Caenorhabditis elegans: one gene and its partners. The protein of the gene in region 3 purifies or fractionates together with the protein of the main gene of each other region. This does not show direct contact. Each region holds a gene or a part of one and is shown on either strand. Other genes may lie near its edges.

Region 1 (7,058 bases), on a different chromosome or scaffold from region 3:
AATGGACAGAACTCACAAATTGGTTGAGAAAAGTTGAAAAAGGGACACTTTTTGGCATTAAATTGCATCATTTGTGGGGAAAATTGTATTTTTTCGTTGAGTGAGGCTAAGACTACAAACTACAAAAAATTGAGAGCCTCAACCAACGTTTTCAATGCTTTTTTGGTAGAAAATCGAGATTTTTTGAATTTTTAAATCATTTTTTCTTAAAAAATAGGCAGGAAATGTGAAAAATACACTATTTTCAGCACAAAACTGCATTATTTGTGAAGAAAATTTGATTTTTTCGTCGAGTGAGGCTATAGACTACAAACTATAAAAACTTGAGAGCCTCAACAAATTTTTTTTCACTAATTCACTCGGAACTTTCTTGAAAATTCGAAATTTTTGGCAATTTCTCACAAAAAAATCGGCGAAAATTGCAGAAAAACGAACAAAATTCGATGAAAATCGCAACATTTTGAGCAAAAACGTTCAACTTTTGTATTTTGTAGTCTCTTCGTGACTCAATGATGGTTGAAGCGATGGGACTACAAACTACAAATTCGGTTCAGCCTCAACCAACGTTTTCCGTGCTTTTTTGTTACAAAATCGACATTTTTTGATTTTTTTTCCTCAAAATATGGACAGAACTCACAAATTGGTTGAGAAAAGTTGAAAAATTGCCAATTTTTAGCACTAAATTGCATTATTTGTGGGGAAAATTGATTGATTTCATTGAGTGAGGCTATAGACTACAAACTACAAGTTTGTGTAGCCTCAACCAATTTTTTTGGTTTTTTTTATTCGAAATTCGAGTTTTTTAGTCATTTTTTCCGAATTTTCTCGCTAAAATCTAACCAAATTGATTGCAACGTCACATCGATAATTAACGAGGTCCTGAACGAGCTGTTTATAGTATAAAAGTGCGTAGGCGGCCCATAATCCTGATATAACCGAGTGGAATAGTGAGACACATTCGTTGGAGATTCGCCATTTCTTATTCGGTGGGATAGCCTGGAAAATGTGGAGTTTTTAGGTAAAAATTCGGAAAAATTTATATTTTCTGGCTGATTTGCTGATTTGGTTGAGGCTCAGACTACAAACTACAAGTTTGTGTAGCCTCAACCAAGTTTTGAGCACTTTTCAGGAGTTTTGGGAAAGAATTTCAACGTTTTTGTAAAGTTTTTATTGAAACTTGTAGTAGAAACTCTAGAAATAAGCGATTTTGATAGAAATTTCAACAATTTTCGGCGTTTTGAAGCAAAAGCTGATTGGTTGAGGCTAAGACTAAAAACTACAAATTTGTGTAGCCTCAACCAACTTTTTTTTTGATGAAAAACTGCTTAAAATGCTGTAAAATCGATATTTTTCAACAAAAAATGCTCAAATTTCGAAAAAAAAAACTGCTTTTTTAGCTCAAACTTCCTAGTTTTTGGATTTTTTTTGCAGTAAATTTCTGAATTCTCACCGACAGATCTCTGCTGTCGGGCTCGGGCTCCTGTTCGACCTGCTCGCCGGCTTCTGCCTCATTTTCAGGCGGATTTTCAGTATTTTCAGCTTCTTGACCGCCTCTCCGTCTCCTCCGAATGCGGTTTCGGATGTCGAAAAAGTTAAAGTTCGGCCACGTCCATTTGCCAAATAAGTACCAACGAACGATGAATTGCAGGGCTCGGAAGAAGGCAAATGAGACGATTACCTGGAGAAAATGGATTTTTGGGCCTAAATTCGCAGAAAATCGGGGGTTTTTGGCATTTTTTGAGTGAAAACTCACAAAAATAATCGAAGAAATCGTTGTTGATTTCATTGGAAAATTAGAAATAAATAATAATTAATTTTTCACGAAAAATTATTTAAAAAATTAATTTTTTTTTGAGTTTTATTTGAAATTATTTGAAATTTCGAATTTCTTACCCATAAAAACATTGTTGGCACTGGGCCAAGAAGATCCGTCAACAGCTCCGCCAGCTGCCGCATTTTCCAGAACTGTCTGAAAAAAAACTGATAAAAATTGGAAATATTACGGAAAAATAGGTAAAACAGTAGGTTTTTGGGTGAAAATACCCGGAAAATTCAAAAAAATTCGCTTAAAAAAGCTATAAAAACGATTTATTCAATGAATTTCTACAGGAAAAATTAAAAAATTAGAATTTTTTTTCGACTCTAAACTCTTCGCCAGGTTATTTCTGGGACGCCAATTGAGTAATAGTAGATTTGACCTGAAAATATCGATTTTCGGCATTAAATTCCACCAAAAATCCTACATTTTCTCTCGACAAATCCTCCAAAGTGGCGACTCGCTCAACTCCGTGCTCGTATCTGGCGAAAACTCTGCAAAAAACCGCAATTTCACCCAAAAATCGATAATTTCCCACCTTGGCACGATGCCAGACGCCTCACGAATCAGAATTGGGAACTGTGGATTGGCTTTTTTGATTCCAACATAGTCGTTTTCGATGAACGCGCGGACTCCCGCCGATGCTGGACTTTTCTGGCAGACGTGGATGCGAATCTCGCGAAGAGCGGTGCCGGCAAGACGGACAGACATCTGAAAATCGATATTTTAAGCTTTAAAATCAAAAAAAAACTTTAAAAAATGCAGAAAAATCCAATAAAACCAACAAAAACCGATTATTTTTTTCGAAATTTATTATAAAAATAAATAACCCGTGATCCCGCCCACTTTGGCAAGCGCGGCGCGCGGTATTTTGCAACTCCTACGCACAGTTTTGCTGTTTTCATGTTTTTTGAGCAAAGTCTTTGAAAATTGCTGATATTTTAGGAAATTTGCCTAAATTTTGCTAAATCTATCAAATTTTAGTGCTAAAACAAGTTTTTTCTCAATTTTTTGAGTTAAAAATCACGAAAAACCCATTAAAATCATCAAAAACCAATGACTCCGCCCCTTTTTGCAAGTGGCGCACGCAATTTTGCAACACCGCCGCACAGTTTTGCGGAAGACACTGCAAATCGAAGTGTCACGTCATCGCACATTTTTTCAGTTTTTCAACGTTATTTTCGATATTTTCAAACGAAAAACCACTTGATAAACTCAAAAAATCACTATTTTTACAGTAATTAATCGCTAAAAAATGGGCCGCGCGTCGTTTGAGTACGACGAAGTCGGCAACACATTTTACTATGTGCTCGTGGCATTCTACGCGATTATTCTGTTCCCGGCGACCTACCTATGCCTTCCAGGAGCCTCGAAACCAGGTAAAAATCGATTTTTTGGCTTAAAATTCATAATTTTTTCGTATTTTTTCGTATTTTTAGAACCAGAACACGTGATCAACGAACACGAGTGCCAATGCGACGGTTGTGACAAGAAAAGACGACAAAAAGCGGCGAATAAGCCGTGGCGACGGACTAAAAAGATTATTACCATCGTTGTAAGGCTTTAAAACTGAAAAATCCGGAAAAAATCCACTAAAAATCCCAAAAAATTGCAGGTTCTCGTTGTAGCGTGGGCAATTTTCGCGATAATTGTGAAAAAAACGACTGAAATCGAGCAAACTCACAAGGACTATGACCCGTATCAGATTTTGGGTCTGGATCAGGGCGCCGACGAGAAGGCCATCAAAAAGGCCTGGAGAGATATGTCAAAGGTGCTGGAAATTGGAATTTCGGCGATTTTTTACTGAGAAACCCCTATTTTCGACATTTTTCAGCTTGAAAATCGAAGAAAATCGAACTTTTTACTGTTTTTTACCTCGAAAAATGCAGTTTCCAAGTATTTTAGATGAAAAAATTGTTTTAATTTTTGGTTGAGGCTCGCGAATTTTGTAGTTTGTAGTGTTAGCCTCAACCAATTTTTGTGCGAAATCTCCGTAAAATATGGATTTTTTCGTGGAAAATGCCTCGAAAATCGAAATATTTTTGCAAAAACCTGATTTTCAAACACTTTCTCGCCAATAAATCTAATATTTAGGCTATTTTTACTGGAGAAACCCAATTTTTTCATAATTTATTGCAATTTTTACTCTAAAACTAAATTTTTTGCAATTTTCGGTCGGTTTTGCGTCAAGATCTATATTTTTGGTTTTTTTTTCCGCTGAAAACCAATTTTTTCGCTAAAATTGTTGAAAATTTATTTTTTCCCACAGAAAAGCCTCAAAATCTTGAAATTTCACTCCATTAGATATTTTCTCGAAAAAAAAGCTTATTTTCGACCTTTTTCGGCTTGAAAATCGATTTTTTTGACTTTTTTTGCCTCCAAAATTGCAGTTTCCAGGAATTTTAGGCTAAAAATTTGCATTAATTTTTGGTGAGGCTGGAGATTTTTGTAGTTTGTAGTGTGAGCCTCAACCAATAATCATGCATTTTTGGTTGAGGCTAATCACTTTTTGTAGTTTGTAGCGTGAACCTCAACCAATTTTTGTGCGAAATCTCTGTAAAATAGGGAATTTTTTTGTGGAAAATACCATAAAAATCATAATTTTTCGCCCAGAAAACTGAAAATTTGGCTATTTTTACTGGAAAAGCCCACTGTTTCCCAAATTTTATTGCATTTTTTCACCCAAAAACTAAATTTTCGGGCACTTTTATTGAATTTCCGACAGTTTTTCTCGAGAAAACATGAATTTTGTCCTGTTTTCGCCTTAAAATTTCTGAAATTTCAGTAATTTTTGGTGAGGCTGATAGTTTTTGTAGTTTGTAGTGTGAGCCTCAACAAATTTTTGTGCGAAATCGCCGTAAAATAAGGAATTTTTTGTGGAAAGTACCATAAAAATCATAATTTTTCGCCAAAAAACTGAAAATTTGGCTATTTTTACTGGAAAAGCCCACTGTTTCCCAAATTTTATTGCAATTTTCACCCAAAAACTGAATTTTCGGGCACTTTTATTGAATTTCAGACAGTTTTTCTCGGGAAAACATGATTTTTGCCCTGTTTTCGCCTTAAAATTTCTGAAATTTCAGTTTTTTCCCCACAAAAATGCTCAAAAATCTGGAATTTTTACCCAATTTTTTGCAGATTCACCATCCGGATCGTGGAGGAGACGCTCAATTCTTCGATAAAATCGCCAAGGCTCACCAGGCTCTCACCGATAAAGAAGCTCGCGAAAACTGGGAAAAATACGGAAATCCAGACGGCCCAACTGCCACAACTTTCGGAATTGCTCTGCCCAAATGGCTTGTGAGCAAAGAATACGGACTCTGGGTGCTCGCTTTCTATGGGCTCATTTTTATGATCATTTTGCCCGTTTCTGTTGTGAGTTTGGCGCTGGAAATGGCGGAAATTGGAAATTTTCGCGAAAAATCGATTTTTCAGGGAATGTGGTGGTATAGCTCGATCAAATACAGCGCTGACAAGGTTCTTCTGGACACCACACGAATGTACTATTATTTCATCAATCGGACACCGAGAATGGAGATTGGAAGTGAGGAAAATCGATTTTTCCACAAATTTTCAGCCAGAAAATTGCTTTTTTGGCGATTTTTCACCCAGAAAGTCGGATTTTTGGCAATTTTTCATCCTGAAAATTGATTTTTAGGCAATTTTCCATACAATAATGGAATTTTGAAAGTTTTCGACGATTTTCCGCTAAGAAATTCGGATTTTTGCCAATTTTCATGCAGGAAACTTGAGTTTTGACTGGTTTTCACCCAGAAAATCAGATTTTTGGCAATTTTTTTGGGCAAAAAACTCAAATTTTGACGATTTTTACAAAAGTCCTGGTTTTCCACGAAAAAAAAATTCAAATTTATTACAAAAAAAAAACCACTAATTTCAACAGAAAATCGCAATTTTGTGCTGGAAAATCCAAATTTTCTGGAAATTTATTAATCTCAAAGCTAAAAATTCGGTTTTTCAGCATTTTTGCCAAGTTTTAAATACATTTTCACCCTGAAAATCAATTATTTTTAATTTTAGGAATGATCGCCGTGCTCTCTGGATCCTTCGAATTCAGCAAACAGTACAATAAGGAGATTCAGGAACGAGAAACTGATGATTATGAGGTTCCGAGGCTCATGAAACAGATTGCCGGTGTTAATGATAAGGGAAAAGAGCAACCGTTGAGCCAACCGTATGCACTGAAATCTCGTGTACTTTTACACGCGTATCTGTCGAGATTACCACTGGAATCGCAAAATGATGCGTTGGAGGAGGATCAGAGGTTGGAAATTGATGGAAACCCAGGAAAAAGCATAAAAATCGCACAATTTTGATGGAAAATTCATAAAAATCGATGAAAAATGACCCGAAAAGCGAAAAAAATCTGGAAAAATAATTTAAATTGCCAAAATTTCACTATTTTTGGCGATTTTGTGATAAAAATTGGTTGAGGCTTACATTACAAACTACACAGTTTGGGAGTCTCACCCAAATTTGGTTGAGGCTCACGCTACAAACTACAAATTGTCGTAGCCTCAACCAATTTTTTTCGGCGAAAAACGGTTTGAAATGTGTTAAAATTCATATTTTTCCACAAAAAAACATCCAGAAAATTTGTAAAATTTGATCTTTTTCGACGAAAACTGCTCAAATTTCGAAAAAAAGTGAGAAAAATTGGATTCTCAGACTACAAACTACAAGTTAGCGTAGCCTCAACCAAAATTACAAATTTTTGAATTAAAATTTTCATTTGTAATGCATTTTTTCTGAAAATAGCATTAAAATTGCCAACATTTCACTATTTTTCGCGAATATTCGATAAAAACCGCTTTAAAATACCGATTTTTAATTGAAAATCTCGAAATTTCCTCCAAAAATCGCCAAAAAAACCCATTTTTCAGCTACATAATCACCCGAATTCTGCGTTTCGTCGAAGAAATGGTGAATTGCTCGCAAAATCTGATGAACTACTCCCAACACACGAAGATTTCCATCGAAACGTTCGATAATCTTCTGAAATTGCAACCAATGTTCGTTCAGGCGCTTTGGCAAAAGAATAGCCCGTTGCTTCAGCTTCCACACATTACAGACTACAATTTACAGCATTTGAGAAAGGTTTGTGCCGGAAAATAAGCCATTTTGTCGAAAAAACCGTTAAAAATGAGCTATTTTTGATGAAAAATGCTCTAAAAATGAAAATTTTAAGTCAGAAATTTGTAGTTTGTAGTGTGAGCCTCAACCG
Region 2 (7,570 bases), on a different chromosome or scaffold from region 3:
AGTATAATATACCCGAGCCCTGATAAAAAGTTATTCGTTAATATTTAAGTTCTAAACCGTCATTGGATCCTTCCTAGCAACAGATACATCATGATATCCCATTGCTCTCGCCACGAATCTTCTTATCATATTATCCCAAGACGTCTTGTTCTTGCTGTACAAATTCAAATAAATTGCCAGCATCACCACAGATCCCGCATAAACATATTCGATGGTGAACGGCTTCGAGAAGAGCATGAACGACAGAATTATAGTCAGTGCCTTGCGAAGAGTTGTCACAGTAACCGCAACAAGTGCTCCAAACACTTTGATATGAGTGAGCACAACGTTGACACCGAGATATCCAAGACATGAGAGGATCAGTGCGTAGCCGAATGTTTTCCACGAGTTCTCCAGGAAAAATGGAATTGCACTGAAGACTTCACCGGAGAGCACGACAAATGCGAAAATGAACACTGAGCCAATTCCATATGAGTAGAGAACCATTTCATTACTAGATCCACCGTACTTCTTCATATTCTTTTCTTGAATATTTCCAATTACAGCATCTGCCAGAAGAGCTCCACAAATCATGATGTATCCTCGAGAATCGAAATTTGGGGATACTTTATTATCGGCCAATGTGAACATGATAATTCCTGGAAATAAAATATTTAATTAATTTTTTAAAATCCAAAATCCTCACCTAAACTCATTAACATCGCCGCACCAATATCAATCCATCCATATCGTTTTCCTTGGATCAGAATCCCTCCAATGAGCACTGGAATTAGCTTGCAGCACTTGAAAATCACTTGAGTTGGATAATTTAAATATCCAACGGATGCATTCGAAAGTCCCATTGTTGCTACTGTGAAAAAGGCAATTACACCGTAGATTCTCCAAGGGATCCTGGAAAAATTAAATATTTTTTAATTCTGAATTTTGTACTATTTGTACTACATATACGCGAAATATTGCGATTGTTGCATCAAAACCGGTCTCAACACGGCAATTTTTGTGGAAAATGGTGTGCGCCTTTGAAGATTACTGTAGTTTCAAACTTTCGCACCTTAGTTCCTGTGGAATTTTTATCGACTTTACAGTTTTTCCCTTTTTTTAATTTGTTTAATTTTTTTGTTTTAAATTTTGAATAAATGTATTTATTTTATTAATAAACAAAATCGAGAAAAAATCCGTAGCAACAAAAGTTTGAAGTTACAGTACTCTTTAAAGGCACACATCAGATTTCATTAAACAAAAAAGCGTGTCGAGACCTATTTACTGACGCACAAATCGCGAAATTTGAATAATAATTGAAAACTCACATTCGTTTCGTGTTATGCCAAATAATACATTCCGTATATCCACATCCGCTATAAATCAGGAATTGAATAAGTGTTAACGTCCATCCAAATGGTTTCATTCCAGGTAGTTTGAATATTAATTCCTGAAATATTTTTTTTCTTCCAAACATTTTTTTATGTAAACTTCTAATCTCACCTGCATATACCCGTATCCTATGTACAAAATAAATATTGCTAAAGAAAGAAGAACAAATTGAAGCCATTTTGGTCTGAAAATCATGAATTCACAAATTAAATCGGCTCGAGATTTCATAATGTATTCTCGATTTTATCGCTTTTGAAATTCCGCTTTAAAATTGAAAATTAAAACTCACTTTCTGGCAATATTAAACCCTAACAGATGAATTGGTTCTACATCCTCTTTGACATGACGTGGCAGCATATGAACACTACAATCAGAATGTATTTGAGCTGCAGTCATTTGAAAGAGTGGGTGGAAAGTGCGCAAATAAAGGGAAATTGAGATCTAAATCAGATAGGCATTTGTTCAGATTGTCCATTGGGGAAAGCCTGAACCGCGACTACGTTCACGGCTTTTGAAAAGGGGGTATCGATCTTTTTGCGCGTTGGCAATAGTTTCTGCGCTACGTCTCTCTATGCATACGTTATTCATACCGAAATAAAAATTCACCGGCGTGATATATTGCAGAACCTTTCCTATACTTTCTGCTCCCGAAAATATTATCCCAACAACTTGTGAATGTGTACCATTTTGTAATTAAAGACGAACAAATAGGGAACAATAACAATTTATTGGAACAACGAACAGATTAGTTCTTGGAGGCAAAGTAGTCGGTGAGGATGGCACGTCCTTGCTCCTCATTTCCCCAGTTGGTGACAACGGCGGATGAGCATCCAACGACCTTGCGGGCCTTTCCTTCCTTATCGTACTTGCAGAGTCCGCAGTACTCTCCGATGATCTTCTTATCGGCGACCTTAATGAGTGGAATCTGGTGCTCGGCGCAGAGGGTCTCGACAAGCTTGACGTATTGTGGCTCGTCGCAGTTCTCGGCGAGGACACAGAAGTGAGCCTCACGCCTGAAAATTGTTTGTAAAATCTTTGGAACACATACAGCATGATACCAGTACACGTGTGGCAGAGTAACAACTTATCTACCAGCTTATTGGGGTCACATCGATTCTAGAACCGGCGACGTTGAAAAATAAGTGGAACTAAAATACAAACTAAAATATCAATTACTTACTTGTCAAGAGCCTTGCAGGTCTCGTGGAGTCCCTTGGCGAGTCCATCAGCGTGGTGGGCAGCGCGAAGAACAGCTCTCAAAGCTCCTTCCTTGTCCATTGGTCCCTGGGCGACGGCGGCTGGGGCCACTTGAACATCTCTAAAATTATCCAATATTTTAATAGCCTTCATAAAAACTTAATTTTGCTTTTAAGACAAGGAATCTAATTGTTCGAACAACTTTGGAACCGATACAGCTTCAAGGCCAGTACCCGTGTGGCAGTAGAACGGTTTTTATTGCACACTACGATAGGAAAACTATGACTTCAAAATCTTCCGATATAATTGGTAGGTGCAAGATTTTTCAGAAAAAAACAAAAATAACCTACCCTCCTGCGTCAGACATTGTTGTTTGCAGCAAGAGTCCTTGATGCTTACCTGAAAATTAGAAATTTCGACTCGTTAATATTGTTTTCACAAAATATATTTCAAGATTTGAGAAAAAGAAAAAAAGAAAAGAAAAAATTGGGAAAATCAACGGAAAAGAGGGAAGCATGAAATGTTTCTGTATCACTCCGCAGCATGTCTTTGAGTCGCGGCACAGTGAAATGTGCTATAGAGCGCGCTTGCCATTTGTCGATTTACGGAGACTTGCACGCGGGAAGCTTTGAATTTCAACAGTTTTCTGTATTTTCTCAGTCTTCATCAAACATTCATTAGCATTTTTCAGGCAAATAAAGGAGTCAAATGGCTAACGAAACGCTGGAACATGTTCTTATTTACTTTTTGGAGAAGCTAAAAGACGTTCGATGCAACCAATCTCCAGAATTACTTCAAAAGCTGACACTCTCACAGTACAAGGCAAGTTGTCGAGCTTTCAGTCCATTTAAATTATTTACATGAATTTCAGACTCTTGCACAATTGGATGTGGACATGCGAATGAGACTGACGCAGGAAATGGAGAGCTATGTGGCGGATCATGTAGAAATTATGAAACTCGAGCTGCAATTGAAGAACAAGAAATGTGCGCTCGCTGGAAAACTGAAACAGTTGGGGACAACGTTTGATAAAGCTATTGTGGAGACTAAAGGTGAGTTGCAATAATTTTTTCACGAAAAAATAGAAAAATTCAGAACGAAACGAGCATTTGCGGATTGGCAGCATTGATTTTCTGAATCCCGTGGTTGAGAAAGTGGAAAAAATAGTTTTTGCAAAGCCAGAAATGCCACAAATATCAGTCGAACAAGGATCAGTTCTCGGTGAATCTGCGAGACGTCAACCGGAGCTTGTCTCTGTAATGGCTTCCATAATGAAACCACCAACATTTTCATCATTGGTGATGACAGGAAGGACTGAAAAGAAAGAAAATATTCCGGAGACCAAAAGCTACAGTCTTGATGATTCTTTGATAAACGGACATGGTAAATTGAATTAGTTTGTCTTTGCAATAAAAACATGCCATTTCAGACATATCAATGGTGAATACATCCAACGAACGACGAAAACTGGCTTTTGATGAGTTGGACGATGAAGAACTGCAAACTCCAGCAAGAAAACCACAAAGAACTCCATCCAGAGCTCCAGAACGGAATCCTCTTGATCTATTTTCCCTACAAGCACCGCCCGTCTTCACATCTTCAGTTGGTCGAGCATTCAATCAGACAAGGGATTGATTTTCTGAATTTTTGATACTAAATATTATTTTATTTATCTGTACAAATGTGGATATGAATACAATTTTCTGAAAATGAAATCAAATGAATTTGAAAATCCAACCAGTTTTCAACTGTGAATATTTTTAGAATTTTCGCATGTTCTAGTCAACGTTTTAGACAAAGTTTCAGCAATGGAAGAAGAGGAATGTTTATCACATTCATCACCATCAACCGATAATTCTCTTGAACTTCGACTGCAACGAGTGACTGCGGAAAACATAAAAACAGTTCGAATCCTCGTTTCAAGCATATTTCCGGTGTCGTACAGCGACAAATTTTATCAAGAATGTATGAATAACGAATTAACAGGAGTTGTAATACGAAACGGCGAGGCAATCGCCATAGTTGCTGTAAAGCCCGAGAATTTCGAAACAGGACGCGTACTTTATATAAGAAGCTTTGGAGGTTTGTAAATTTTTGAGAAATTAAGATTTTTTCATTTAAAATTCAAGAAAAATGTTATAAAATTAAGTTTTCTAAAAATTCTAAAATATGGTCTCAAAGTTCAGAAAAAAGTCTGGTTTTAAAACAAAAATCAAAAATTAAAAAATTAAGATTTAAATTGATTTTCACTAAAGTCGTTTTTTAGAAGATCTTCCATTTTTTTCAGTTAAAATTTTTTCGAAGCTATTTTCTAATTAAAAGTGTCATTTTAACCTCAAAAATTTGTAGAAAAAGTAACATTTTGATAAAAAGTAAATTTTGCAAAATCTAAAAAATATTTTTCAAAATATGATTAATCAATACTTTAAAAAGATCTATTTCGTATTCTCAAAAAAAATTTCTTGATACATTTTTCAAAAAGAAACAAAAAAGTGTTGAAAAATCTACTGAAATAATTGGAAAAAACCAAAAATAAATTTAAAAAACATTTTTTACAGTGTTTTCCCACTTTATTTTAATTCTTTAATTGAAGATTGAACTTTCTTTCCATTTTTCTCTAAAACTGCGGACAATTTTCTGATTTCTAAAATATAACTTTTAATTTTTAGAAATTGAAAACAAAATTTGCAAAAATTTATTTTTTCCAGTTCATCCCCGTCACCGCGAAGCTGGTCTCGGCTCATTTCTGATGGATTTCGTCGACGAAAAGGGAAAATTATTGAAATTGCCTCACGCGATGCTCCATGTGCAGACTTCCAACAAAACTGCGATCGAATTCTACAAGAACCGCGGCTTCAACGTGGATTGTCTCGTTCCACAATACTATCAACGATGCAGTCCTCCTGATGCGTTTATCATGCGAAAGCCATTCCATTAATTTACATAAAAAAGATAAAGTTGAAACATAAATTCACCAGATTCATTCGATTGATTTTGTTTTTAAATCTTGAATCTAAAAGCTCACAACAACATTCGTTATAAAACAAGAAGTATGTTAAACAGAATAAAAATGGATTTGATTTGATTCGGGAGGCTACTAAATACAAACAATATAGAAAACATCACAGAGATGGACGACGGCTATGAATTCAACAGGAGAGAGAAATAGAGATAATTCCCTACTAAAATGTTTAGAATAAGAAGAACCGGCTTTTTAGAAGTGAGTTATAGATATCGAGGGAGAAGTGAAAAGGAGAATTATAGAGGAATTAAATATATATATATAAAGCCATAGAATCTTTAATTTTTCGGCGTCGTAGGTGACGGGGTCTTTGTTGTCATGATACTTGATGTGGATGGCGGAAGGAGACTGTTGAACAGTTTGATATTCTCATTTGAATACGACGGTGGCAAGAAGAACTCGCTTCGTGTTACTGCTTCTCGATGAAGCTTCTTTCTGGCTCTGAAAATCAAAAAATATGGAAACTGTTCGAAAAGTCAAATGGTGGACGTACCTTAATGAGATTCGCTCAGCGGAATTATCGTTGATTTTATTATTTGATACAGATCGTAGGTTTACAGAATTCGCAAGCGGTTGTGCCGCTGATGATACACGCATTGATGAGGCAGCTATTGGAAATCTGAAAATTATTGATATGAATAAAAAATCTATTGAAATTTGCACAGCAATGAAAGTTCGGAACTACAGTACTCTTTAAAGGCGCATCACCGTTTATTTTTACGGATTCCGTATTTTTCGCGGCTGCGTAATATAACTTTGAGAAAAAACTGACCTAGTACTGGGGAAAACGATGAGGCGGTCCCTGATCTCTGCGACGGTATTGGCTCGGCGAGCCGCCGGCTCCTCCACCACGTGTCTCGTAGGCTTCTCCCCCGAAGTTTGTTGCAAACGCAGCCGCGCTGAGCCCACCGCCGTGTCTTGGAATAAAGAGTCGGGTCGATCCACCATTGAATTTTCCAGATCGAGCATCCGCATACTTCTCCTTCGCGGCATATTGGAACCCAGTTGATGATGATCCAGAGGCAACGGCTCCACTCGAAGTGCTCCGTCCCCGACGGTCAGTGGCCGAGGCCGACGAACCACTGACGGGCTCGACGACGAACGATTCGCCTCGTTCGATGGCCGAAGCGGCTGCGATCCGTACCGGCGATGATCCGTACGAGGACTTGATGACCGGAGCGGCGCCGACTGCTCCACCGCCAGTGTACGCGAACCACGAGTTGAACATGTGATGGTAGTCGGCGTTACCACGTCCACTACCGCTACCCTGTTGATATCTCGTTGATTGTTGGGGAATTTGTTGATGGTAGGCGACGTCTTCATCGTATTCGGCGGGATAGACACGACGCATCGCTCCACTGGTTTTCGAGATACTTCCACTGGAGGTTTGTGGTGGTATTCGGGAACCGACATGGTACGCATTAGATCTGAAAATACAAATAATTATTAATTTTTAGAAATTTGTTGAATATTTTAGAAAAAATGCAAATTATTTTCAGGAAAATATTACATTGTTTTTTGCTTGAAATTTCTCGATTTTTACAAAAATTGCAAATTTTAATTTTCAGATTTTTTGTATTCTTTTCCCCAAGTTTTGCGGACGAGAATCATTTTAAAAACAAAAATAGATTTTTGGGTCTCGGAATGAGATAACTCTGAAATTTTTAATGTTTAAGATAAGTTAGAACATTTTTTTTCTGGAAAACCAAATTGTTAGTTTTGCGCCAATGTTAAATTTAATTTTTTCAGATATTTTCAACAAATATCAAAATACTTACGCTGGTAATCCATAGTTGACATAGGACGACGTGTTGATCGGTGAATTACCGCTGGTACTCTGTTGTCTGTAAATGTATTCGTCTTCATCGATGATTGGGCCCCCACGCGGGTGATAGCGATGGGCCGCGTATCGATCGTAGAGCTCAGAGTCGGCGTACGACTCATATCCGGAAGTCTGAAATAATAGAAATTTGATTGGAA
Region 3 (7,907 bases):
CAGGCTGTCTCACTGCGCAGTTTGATCTACAAAAATGCGGGAATTTTTTTCCCATAAAATTTATGACGTCAGCACGCTGCGAAATCAGATCAGATGTCTGCGCGTCTCGAGAAGATCTTCTCCCGCATTTTTTGTAGATCAAAGCGAAATGGGACTTTCTGACTCTGACTCCTTTTGTGTAACACTAACATTCACAGCGACATCAAGATCAGCATCATCGAAAACGATCAGCGGAGCATTTCCACCGAGCTCCAGACAAACTCTCTTCACAGTCGACGCTGACTGTGCGAGAAGCAACTTTCCAACGGGGGTACTTCCAGTGAAGCTGATCGCCGACACATCTGTAGACTCGCAAAGGTACTTGGAAATCTCGGCAGTATTCGAGTGATCTGCAGTGATCACATTGAACACGCCGGCCGGAATCCCAGCTTCTTCAGCAGTCTGAGCAAGAGCCAACGCTGAAAGCGGCGTATCTCCAGATGGCTTCACGACTGCCGAGCACCCGACAGAAAGCGCCGCCGCCGCTTTCCGAGCAATCATTGCAGTCGGGAAGTTCCATGGCGCGATGAGAGCTACAACTCCGATCGGCTCACGGGTGTGTAGATGGAGACGATTTACGACGGCCGACGGAACGACTTGTCCGTAGACACGACGAGCCTCTCCGGCGTACCAGTCGAAGTAGGCGGCCGAGTATTGGATTTCGCCGCGAGCCTCGGCCAGCGGTTTGCCTTGCTCTTTTGTGAGAAGGGTGGCTAGCTCGGTTTCACGTTGGACAAGGATTTCGAACCATTTGTGAAGAATTGCGCCTCGTTGCTTCGCTGAATAGGTGTGGGCCCATTTGTCGAAGCCTTCTAGCGCTGAGTGGACGGCCTGGAAAGTGAGAAAAATGTCGGTCATCAATTTTTGAATTTTTGAAAAATTCAGATGCGTCACCATCACGGTTTGATCTACAAAAAATGCGGGAATTTTTTGTTGCCCAAAAAATGTGACGTCAGCACGTTCTTAGCCATGCGAAATCAGTTGAGAACCGCATTTTTTGTAGATCTACGTAGATCAAGCCGAAATGAGAGACACTCTGACACCACGTGATGCCTGCATTTTTTTTTTGTAAATTTTAACGAAAAAACTGAAATTTCTCCATTTTTACGTTAATTTTTGACTGAAAAATTGGGGGTAATTTTTGTCAAAAAATCCTAAATTCGCTAAATTTTACTCCAAAAATACGGTGGCAGGAGTCTCGACACGACAATTTTTGTATTTTTGTTAAATGCGAAAAGGAGTGCGCCTTTAAAGAGTACTGTAGCTTGGGAATTTTCATCAATTTTTTTCAGTTTTATTTCAATTTTTCATAAAAATTCCAATAGTTTGGAGCTACAGTACTCTTTAAAGGCGCATCCCCCCTTTATCCTGTTGCATTTAACAAAAAATGCCGCGTCGAGACCCGCCGGTACCGTATTTTTGAGCAAAATTTTGCGAAACTAGTCATTTTTTGACTAAAATTTCCCAAATTTTCCAGAAAAAATCAATTTTTTTTTCATAAAAATTAATGAAAAAAGGCAGAAATTTCAGTTTTCCCCATTTTCCCAAAAATTGTGGTTCCAGGTCTCGACGCGACAACTTTTTGTTAAATTCGAAAGTGTGTGCGCCTTTAAAGAGTACTGTAGTTTTGAATTTTTATTTCTGCGAAACTTTTATCGATTTCTCGAAAAATCATGTTTTTTTTAGAATTTTGTTTTAATATTTTTCAATAAATAAATATATTTTCATTGAAAAACATGAAAAATCGATAAATATTCCGCAAACACGGAACTTTTAAGCTACAGTACTCTTTAAAGGCGCACACCTTTTCGCATTTAATTTTAAAAAAGTCGTTTCGAGACCCAGTAAATACCGTATTTTTGAGCAAAATCACGCATTTTTGGCTCAAATTTCCCAATTTTTCAGGAAAAAGAGGAGCATTTTTTTTGTAAAAATTAACGAAAAAATGCAGAAATTTCAGTTTTTTTCCCCCATTTTCCCCAACCTTCTCCGCATCCTTAACAGTACAATTCGTAGCTCTATCGACAACTTCATTATTAAACGGATTGAGCACATCAAACGAGTTCCCCGTCTCAGAAGCCGTCCATTTTCCGCCAATATACGCTTGAGCTCCTTGTGGGAGCAACGAGTAGCTCCGTTTGAATTGGGAAAGCCGATTCATTATTGCGCTCGGCTGAACAAAAAAAATTGGAAATTGCAATTTTTCAGTTAAAAAAAGTAAAAAAAAACATATCGGGAGGATCAATTGCCTCTTTTTTTACAAAAAAAAATCGATTTAAATTTAAAATTCACTAGAAACGACAATCAGCGACACAAAAAAATGAAGAAGGAGACTACAGAAATCGAGAGAATTAGATATCCGGCGGCTTATTATTGATCGTTGGCAAAGTCGGCTGGATTCTTTCGGTTGGCGGCGACGTTCGTCTTCTTGGCCCAGTCGTAGAGCAAGTAGGCTCCGATGGTCTGGAAAATTAGAGATTAACGGGCTTTTTCGGCCTGAAAAAGAGGTTTTGCAAGCCTTGAGAGCCCTGTCGATTTACGGAGGATTTTGTACTACACGTGGTGCAAAAGTGTGTATTTATTAGCATTTAACATTCGAAATGGGCCCGGAAAATCGAAAAAAAAAAAAACAATTTTTTGTTGAAAATAACGAAAAATTGCAATATTTTATCTAATTTTGTCAAATTTTTATAGAGAAAAACAGCTAATTTTCGTCTAAAAATAAGAAAAATGGCAGAAATTTCAAGTTTTTTTTTGTTGAAAAATTGGAAAACCGGTTTCTTTTAAAATAACAATACTAGTTTCCAGCAGATTTACACAAAAAAAGTGAGCTTTTCGCTTTATTGTGTAAATCTGCTGGAAACCAGTATTGTTATTTTGAAAAAGGGCGGTTTTTCTTATTTTTTGACGGAAAGTACCTGTTTTTCTCTATAAAAATAAAAAAAATTAGTTAAAATAATGCAATTTTTCGATTTTCCGGGCCCATTTCGAATGTTAACTGCAAAAAAACTAGCAAAAACTTCAAATCCAGGTGGAAAAAACAAATTCCAACTTGTCCACGTGTAGTACAAAACCCCTCGTAAATCGACACTCATTAAACTGTGCCGCAGGCTTGCAAGACCGGTTTTTTTGTGTGAAACGGTGCTCAAATTCACAAAATTTCTGATTTTTTTCGCTAAAAATCACGAAATTCAGCTTAAAAATCATTGAAAACCGGAATTTTTTTTCTCTCCAATTTTCCAAGGCTACCTGTGGAATGTAGTAATACCACTGATCCCAGACGTAGGTCTTGAAGGTCTTAACAAAGGCCTGATCGAAGAATCCCTTGTAGGCCTTTTGCTCGTTTGGAGCAAGCGCGAAGCGGTGCTCTCCGTACATCTTGCCGAGATTTCCAAAGTGTTTGCCCATTGAAACGACGGTCGGTCTCATTGTTGTCTGGAAGTGGAAGTATTTGGAAAATTTAATTGATAAATTAGAATAATAAAAATGGTAAAATAACAAAGAAAATCGATATTTCAAGGCTACAAAAACCAGGAAAAAGGGAAAAAATGCAGGGAAACCCCTAAAAACCGCGAGAAAAAAGCTTCATTTCTGTCACATTCTGAACCACTAAAATTAATTTACAAAAAAAAAACGCTTAGGCGCTCTTCGTGAACTTGTCGAAACGCTGCAAATACTCGAATTCGGTGTTCTTCTGCTGGCTGGCCAGCTCATTCTGCTTGGATCGGCTCCATTCGGCTCCAAAACCAGGGGTTGGAGCTGTCAATCCGAAGTTTGTGGCGACTCCTTGATTCACTTGCGCTGGCTGTGCTTTTTCTCCTCCAACAAACTCGCCAGACGAGTAGAGCACTTTCGGAGCATCGACGTTTCGGCGGCCGTCTCTGCAAAAAAAATTTGATGATTTTTTGAGAGAATTTAAATTTTTAATGGACTACTCCCTGTGGGGAAATTGCTTTAAAACATGCCTATGGGGCCACAATGACCGAATATCATGATAAAAAAATTTTAAAAATTTTTCTGGATTTTATATGATTTTTTGAAAATTGAAAAAATCTCAGTTTTCCCCCCTAATTCCTATTTGAATTTCCGCCAATTGAACTCGTTCGTTGGAGCGCGCTTGCATTATTTTCGTTAATTTTTTAAAATTTATTTTCATTATTTCACTGATTTTCTTTATTTTTTGAAGGTTTTTAATCGGAAAATGAAAGAAATAAACAAGAAAAATGCAAAATTTTTATTAAGAAGTAACTGAAAATGGCTAAAACTCTGATTAATACTAATTTCAGGCTCGTCGTCGTCGGATCGCATAATAGGCATTTTCGGCTACTTTTTAATAAGGACTGTGAATTTTCTTGCTTATTTCTTTCATTTTCCGATTAAAACCCCAAAAAAATAGAGAAAATCAGTGAAATAATGAAAATAAATTTTAAAAAATTAACGAAAATAATGCAAGCGCGCTCCAACGAACGAGTTCAATTGGCGGAAATTCAAATAGAAATTAGGGGTGAAAACTGAGAATTTTTCAATTTTCAAAAAATCATATAAAATCTAGAAAAAACTTTTAAATTTTTTTATCATGATATTCGGTCATTGTGGTACCAAAGGCGTGATTTAAAGCAATTTCCCCACAGGGTGGAATTTTTTGAACCTTGTCAAGTAATAATTATCAGCGAGCTTGTGATGAACACCTCCTGGAAGAGCCGGGAGCTCTGCGGAGCAAGGACGAGCGGATTGGGTGTTTGGGAAGCGGAGAGGGTTCTGGTAGACTGCTTTTCCGTCCGGGCCGGCGATTCCTGGTGGCGGGGTGATGGGGAGTCGGTCGGAAGCCAACAGCTTTTCTGGAAATTTCTAAATTTTCATTAATTTGTTAATATTGGAGCGCAAAAAACGGAAAAAGAAAAACTTACGCTTAAGCCAGTTCCAGAATGGCGTCTGGGTGCGATTTTGAACAGTGGCCGCCGCAATTTTGCGACCGCTCATTGTCGGTCTGGAAAATTTATATTTTTATAAACAAATTGGGAAGCTTGGCTTAGAATAAATATATATTATAAACAAAACGAGCTTTTCTCGATTTTTCCAAGAAAAAAACTGGAGAAAACTAGCAATTTAGAAGAAAAAAAACCATTTTTCTTCAAAATAGCATTTCTCAGCCAAATTTTGCTCAAATCGATTCGGATCTGGATTTTCGACTTAAAATAACTCTAATAACAAGCTTAACTGATTTTTCAACAAAATTATCCATAAAAAATCACGGAAAATCGATAAAATCTGAAAAGAAAGCGATTAAAAAGTAAATAAATAAATGACCGGTCGTCAGTTGGTGCATTTGCGCGTCACGGTGTTTGCACACAATGCATCACATTTTACGGGCAATGTGCCTATGGTAATTAATTTATATAAATAAACATGATTTTATAGTTGAAAGTCGGGCTTTTTAGAGTCAATAAAAGAATAATTTATTGTGAAAATAAGCAAAAAAGAAAAATGAATAAATCTACAAAATCACAAGTCTTGATAAGCATTAGAACGGAATGGATGTGCTGGTTCGATCACAATATTCTGACGTTCGGTATCCGAAGTTGTCTGTACCTCACGATAGATTACAGTACATGGGACAGCGTAGAAAATTGTTTGTACGATGAAGAAAACCTGAAATTAACATATATATTGCCTAAAAATCCCCCTTAAAACCCACCCCAGCAGCAATATATCCCGCAGAAGTGCCGAAAAGCGACCGATTCGCGAACGAAAACGAAAGCCAGACGGAAATCACGGAGAGGACCGCCAAAATAAAGGAATACACGAGCTCCACGACATTCCACGCGATGCTTCCATTCGAAATACTCTCCATGAGCTCATCCTGAATCCGCAGGGCGAAGATTACCGTTGCCGCCGCGGAAATCTGGAAATTCAGGGGGTTGATGGGGGTAAAAATTTAATAAAAGGATAAACTAACAATTAATTGAACAATTAGAGTAAACCAAAGAATCCCATTATCCCCGGAAGCCGTCGATCCAATGCAAACCGCCAGAATTACAGCGTTAATCTGAAAAATTGAACATGGTGCATCGGGAAATTAAAAAAATCAATAAACATACCGCTTGCAATGGCTTAAAATAGTGTGGAAGTTTGAGAAAAACGTTATCCTCATTTTCGAATATGTTTCCAAGAGTTTGCATTTTTTTTTAAATTTTGTGTTGCAAAAAAAATTCAGCGAATTCGAAATTTTATCGATTAAAACTGTAATAATACGTGCACAGTGATTCTGTCTGTTGTTGTGCTCACACACGTATCTTATCAGTAAACATTATAGTTCACATGATTTGGGGGTTATTGTGTAGTTTGTAGTGTATTATTGGTGATAGAAATACGGTTCCCGGGGTCTCGACACGACAAATTTTTGTTAGATGCGAAAAGGTGTGTGCGTCTTTAAAAAGAGTACTGTAGTTTAAAACTTTTGTTGCTGCGGACTTTTTATTGAATTTTTTTAAATTTAGGTTTTTTTTAAAGTGATATGTGATTTTTTTTTAATTTTACAGATTTTTTTCGAAGTTTTACAGATTTGTTTACAAATTTTACTGATTTTTTTTCGAAATTTTGCAGATTTTTTTTTCGAAATTTACAGATTTTTTTCGAAATTTTGCAGATTTTTTTCCAAATTTTCCAAATTTTTTTTTGGAAATTTTCCAGATTTTCTGTAAATTTTTAAGATTTTTTTTCCAAATTTTACAGATTTTTTTCCAAATTTTACAGATTTTTTCCAAATTTTACAGATTTTTTTCCTGATTTTACAGATTTTTTTCCAAATTTTACACATTTTTTTTCGAAATTTTACAGATTTTTTTTCCAAATTTTCCAAATTTTTTTTTGGAAATTTTCCAGATTTTCTGTAAATTTTTAAGATTTTTTTCCAAATTTTACAGACTTTTTTCCTGATTTTACTGATTTTTCCCAAATTTCCGGATTTTTTTGTACAATTGCAGATTTTTTTTGTAAATTTTAAATTTCTAAAAAATCGAAAAAAAAATTGGCTGAGCTAAAAAAATGTTTATTTTTTTTTGGAATTTTGAAAAAAAAAATTTCAATTTTTTGTGGTAAAAACATTTTTTCTGTTAATCTCAGTGAGCAAGAACTCATTAAAAAATTATTTGTAAAAAAATAAAATTGGCGGAAAAAAAATTTCTTTAAAAAATTTTCAAAAAAATTTTTTTTTCAGAAATTTTTTTCCAAACTTTAACCAAATTTCTCACAAAGACTGAGATTTCTGCAAAAAAGGAGGAAGAAGACGACGATAATCAACTAATTAGCGAGACGACGTCACAGTAATTTGAGTAGTTGACTGCAGAGCAGAAGCAAAACAGAGGTGGCTTAACTTATTCTCACACGTTTTTTTTCCCATCTGAAAGTGTTCATGGTGCTCCATTAGAGTGATGGCTCAGCACGTGTGTGCTCATTTCTCTTTTTCAAAATATATCCCTTTCCTTTTCAATCATCATCAACTTCCTCTTATCACTTGGCTCTCATTGAGTCAAAAATTCCCATTTTTCCCAAATGTTTCTCTCTTTTTCATGTTTTCCTGGTGTAAATGTTTAAATAAATTATATTTAAAAATAATAACGTTGCGAAAAAAAAAAATTTTTTTTTAATTTTCGAAAAAATTTTTTTAAAATTTTTTCTTAGTTAGCATTTTTTCACTTAAAAATGCAAAATTTTACCTTTTTTATTGTGTTTTATACGCATTGGGCGGTTTTTTGCTATGTGGCCGTAAAAAAAAAATAGGAAAAATCGGTGGCCGAGTTTTCTGATCGTGGCCGCGAAAATACGAAAACACGGCCACAGTGCAATTTTTAAAAATTGGCTTCTCAGAA

What was found. Proteins that work in one complex are often made in the same cells at the same time.
Region 1: the proteins of F45H10.2 (region 3) and ndua-2 fractionate together in Caenorhabditis elegans (co-fractionation; one large-scale study listed by BioGRID). This does not show direct contact.
Region 2: the proteins of F45H10.2 (region 3) and rps-12 fractionate together in Caenorhabditis elegans (co-fractionation; one large-scale study listed by BioGRID). This does not show direct contact.

What each region holds. Positions count from the first base shown.
Region 1 is NC_003279.8:14,109,105-14,116,162, reverse strand, and holds ndua-2 (NADH dehydrogenase [ubiquinone] 1 alpha subcomplex subunit 2), read right to left. Parts: upstream 2,528-7,058; coding exon 2,355-2,527; intron 2,311-2,354; coding exon 2,244-2,310; intron 2,199-2,243; coding exon 2,160-2,198; 3' UTR 2,078-2,159; downstream 1-2,077. Other genes in the region: TLC domain-containing protein fld-1, read right to left, coding at 841-996, 1,451-1,678, 1,894-1,956; dnj-29 (J domain-containing protein), read left to right, coding at 3,072-3,195, 3,256-3,371, 3,432-3,587, 4,955-5,191, 5,252-5,360, 5,855-6,098, 6,718-6,931.
Region 2 is NC_003281.10:5,674,695-5,682,264, reverse strand, and holds rps-12 (Small ribosomal subunit protein eS12), read right to left. Parts: upstream 2,968-7,570; 5' UTR 2,936-2,967; coding exon 2,919-2,935; intron 2,888-2,918; exon of another isoform or gene 2,756-2,887; intron 2,690-2,755; coding exon 2,552-2,689; intron 2,521-2,551; exon of another isoform or gene 2,390-2,520; intron 2,385-2,389; coding exon 2,117-2,384; 3' UTR 2,078-2,116; downstream 1-2,077. Other genes in the region: pst-2 (Adenosine 3'-phospho 5'-phosphosulfate transporter 2), read right to left, coding at 52-638, 686-891, 1,308-1,429, 1,483-1,555, 1,661-1,767; ska-3 (Spindle and Kinetochore-Associated protein homolog), read left to right, coding at 3,277-3,390, 3,440-3,620, 3,664-3,951, 3,998-4,203; F54E7.9 (N-terminal methionine N(alpha)-acetyltransferase NatE), read left to right, coding at 4,377-4,650, 5,277-5,506; par-3 (PDZ domain-containing protein), read right to left, coding at 5,869-6,031, 6,084-6,209, 6,363-7,017, 7,369-7,544. UniProt on the Caenorhabditis elegans protein: Part of the small subunit (SSU) processome, first precursor of the small eukaryotic ribosomal subunit.
Region 3 is NC_003280.10:13,489,575-13,497,481, forward strand, and holds F45H10.2 (Cytochrome b-c1 complex subunit 8), read right to left. Parts: upstream 3,475-7,907; 5' UTR 3,469-3,474; coding exon 3,289-3,468; intron 2,503-3,288; coding exon 2,410-2,502; 3' UTR 2,314-2,409; downstream 1-2,313. Other genes in the region: alh-7 (Succinate-semialdehyde dehydrogenase, mitochondrial), read right to left, coding at 190-870, 2,024-2,200; ndua-7 (NADH dehydrogenase [ubiquinone] 1 alpha subcomplex subunit 7), read right to left, coding at 3,677-3,920, 4,688-4,877, 4,947-5,019; drr-1 (MARVEL domain-containing protein), read right to left, coding at 5,542-5,688, 5,735-5,941, 5,996-6,085, 6,138-6,218.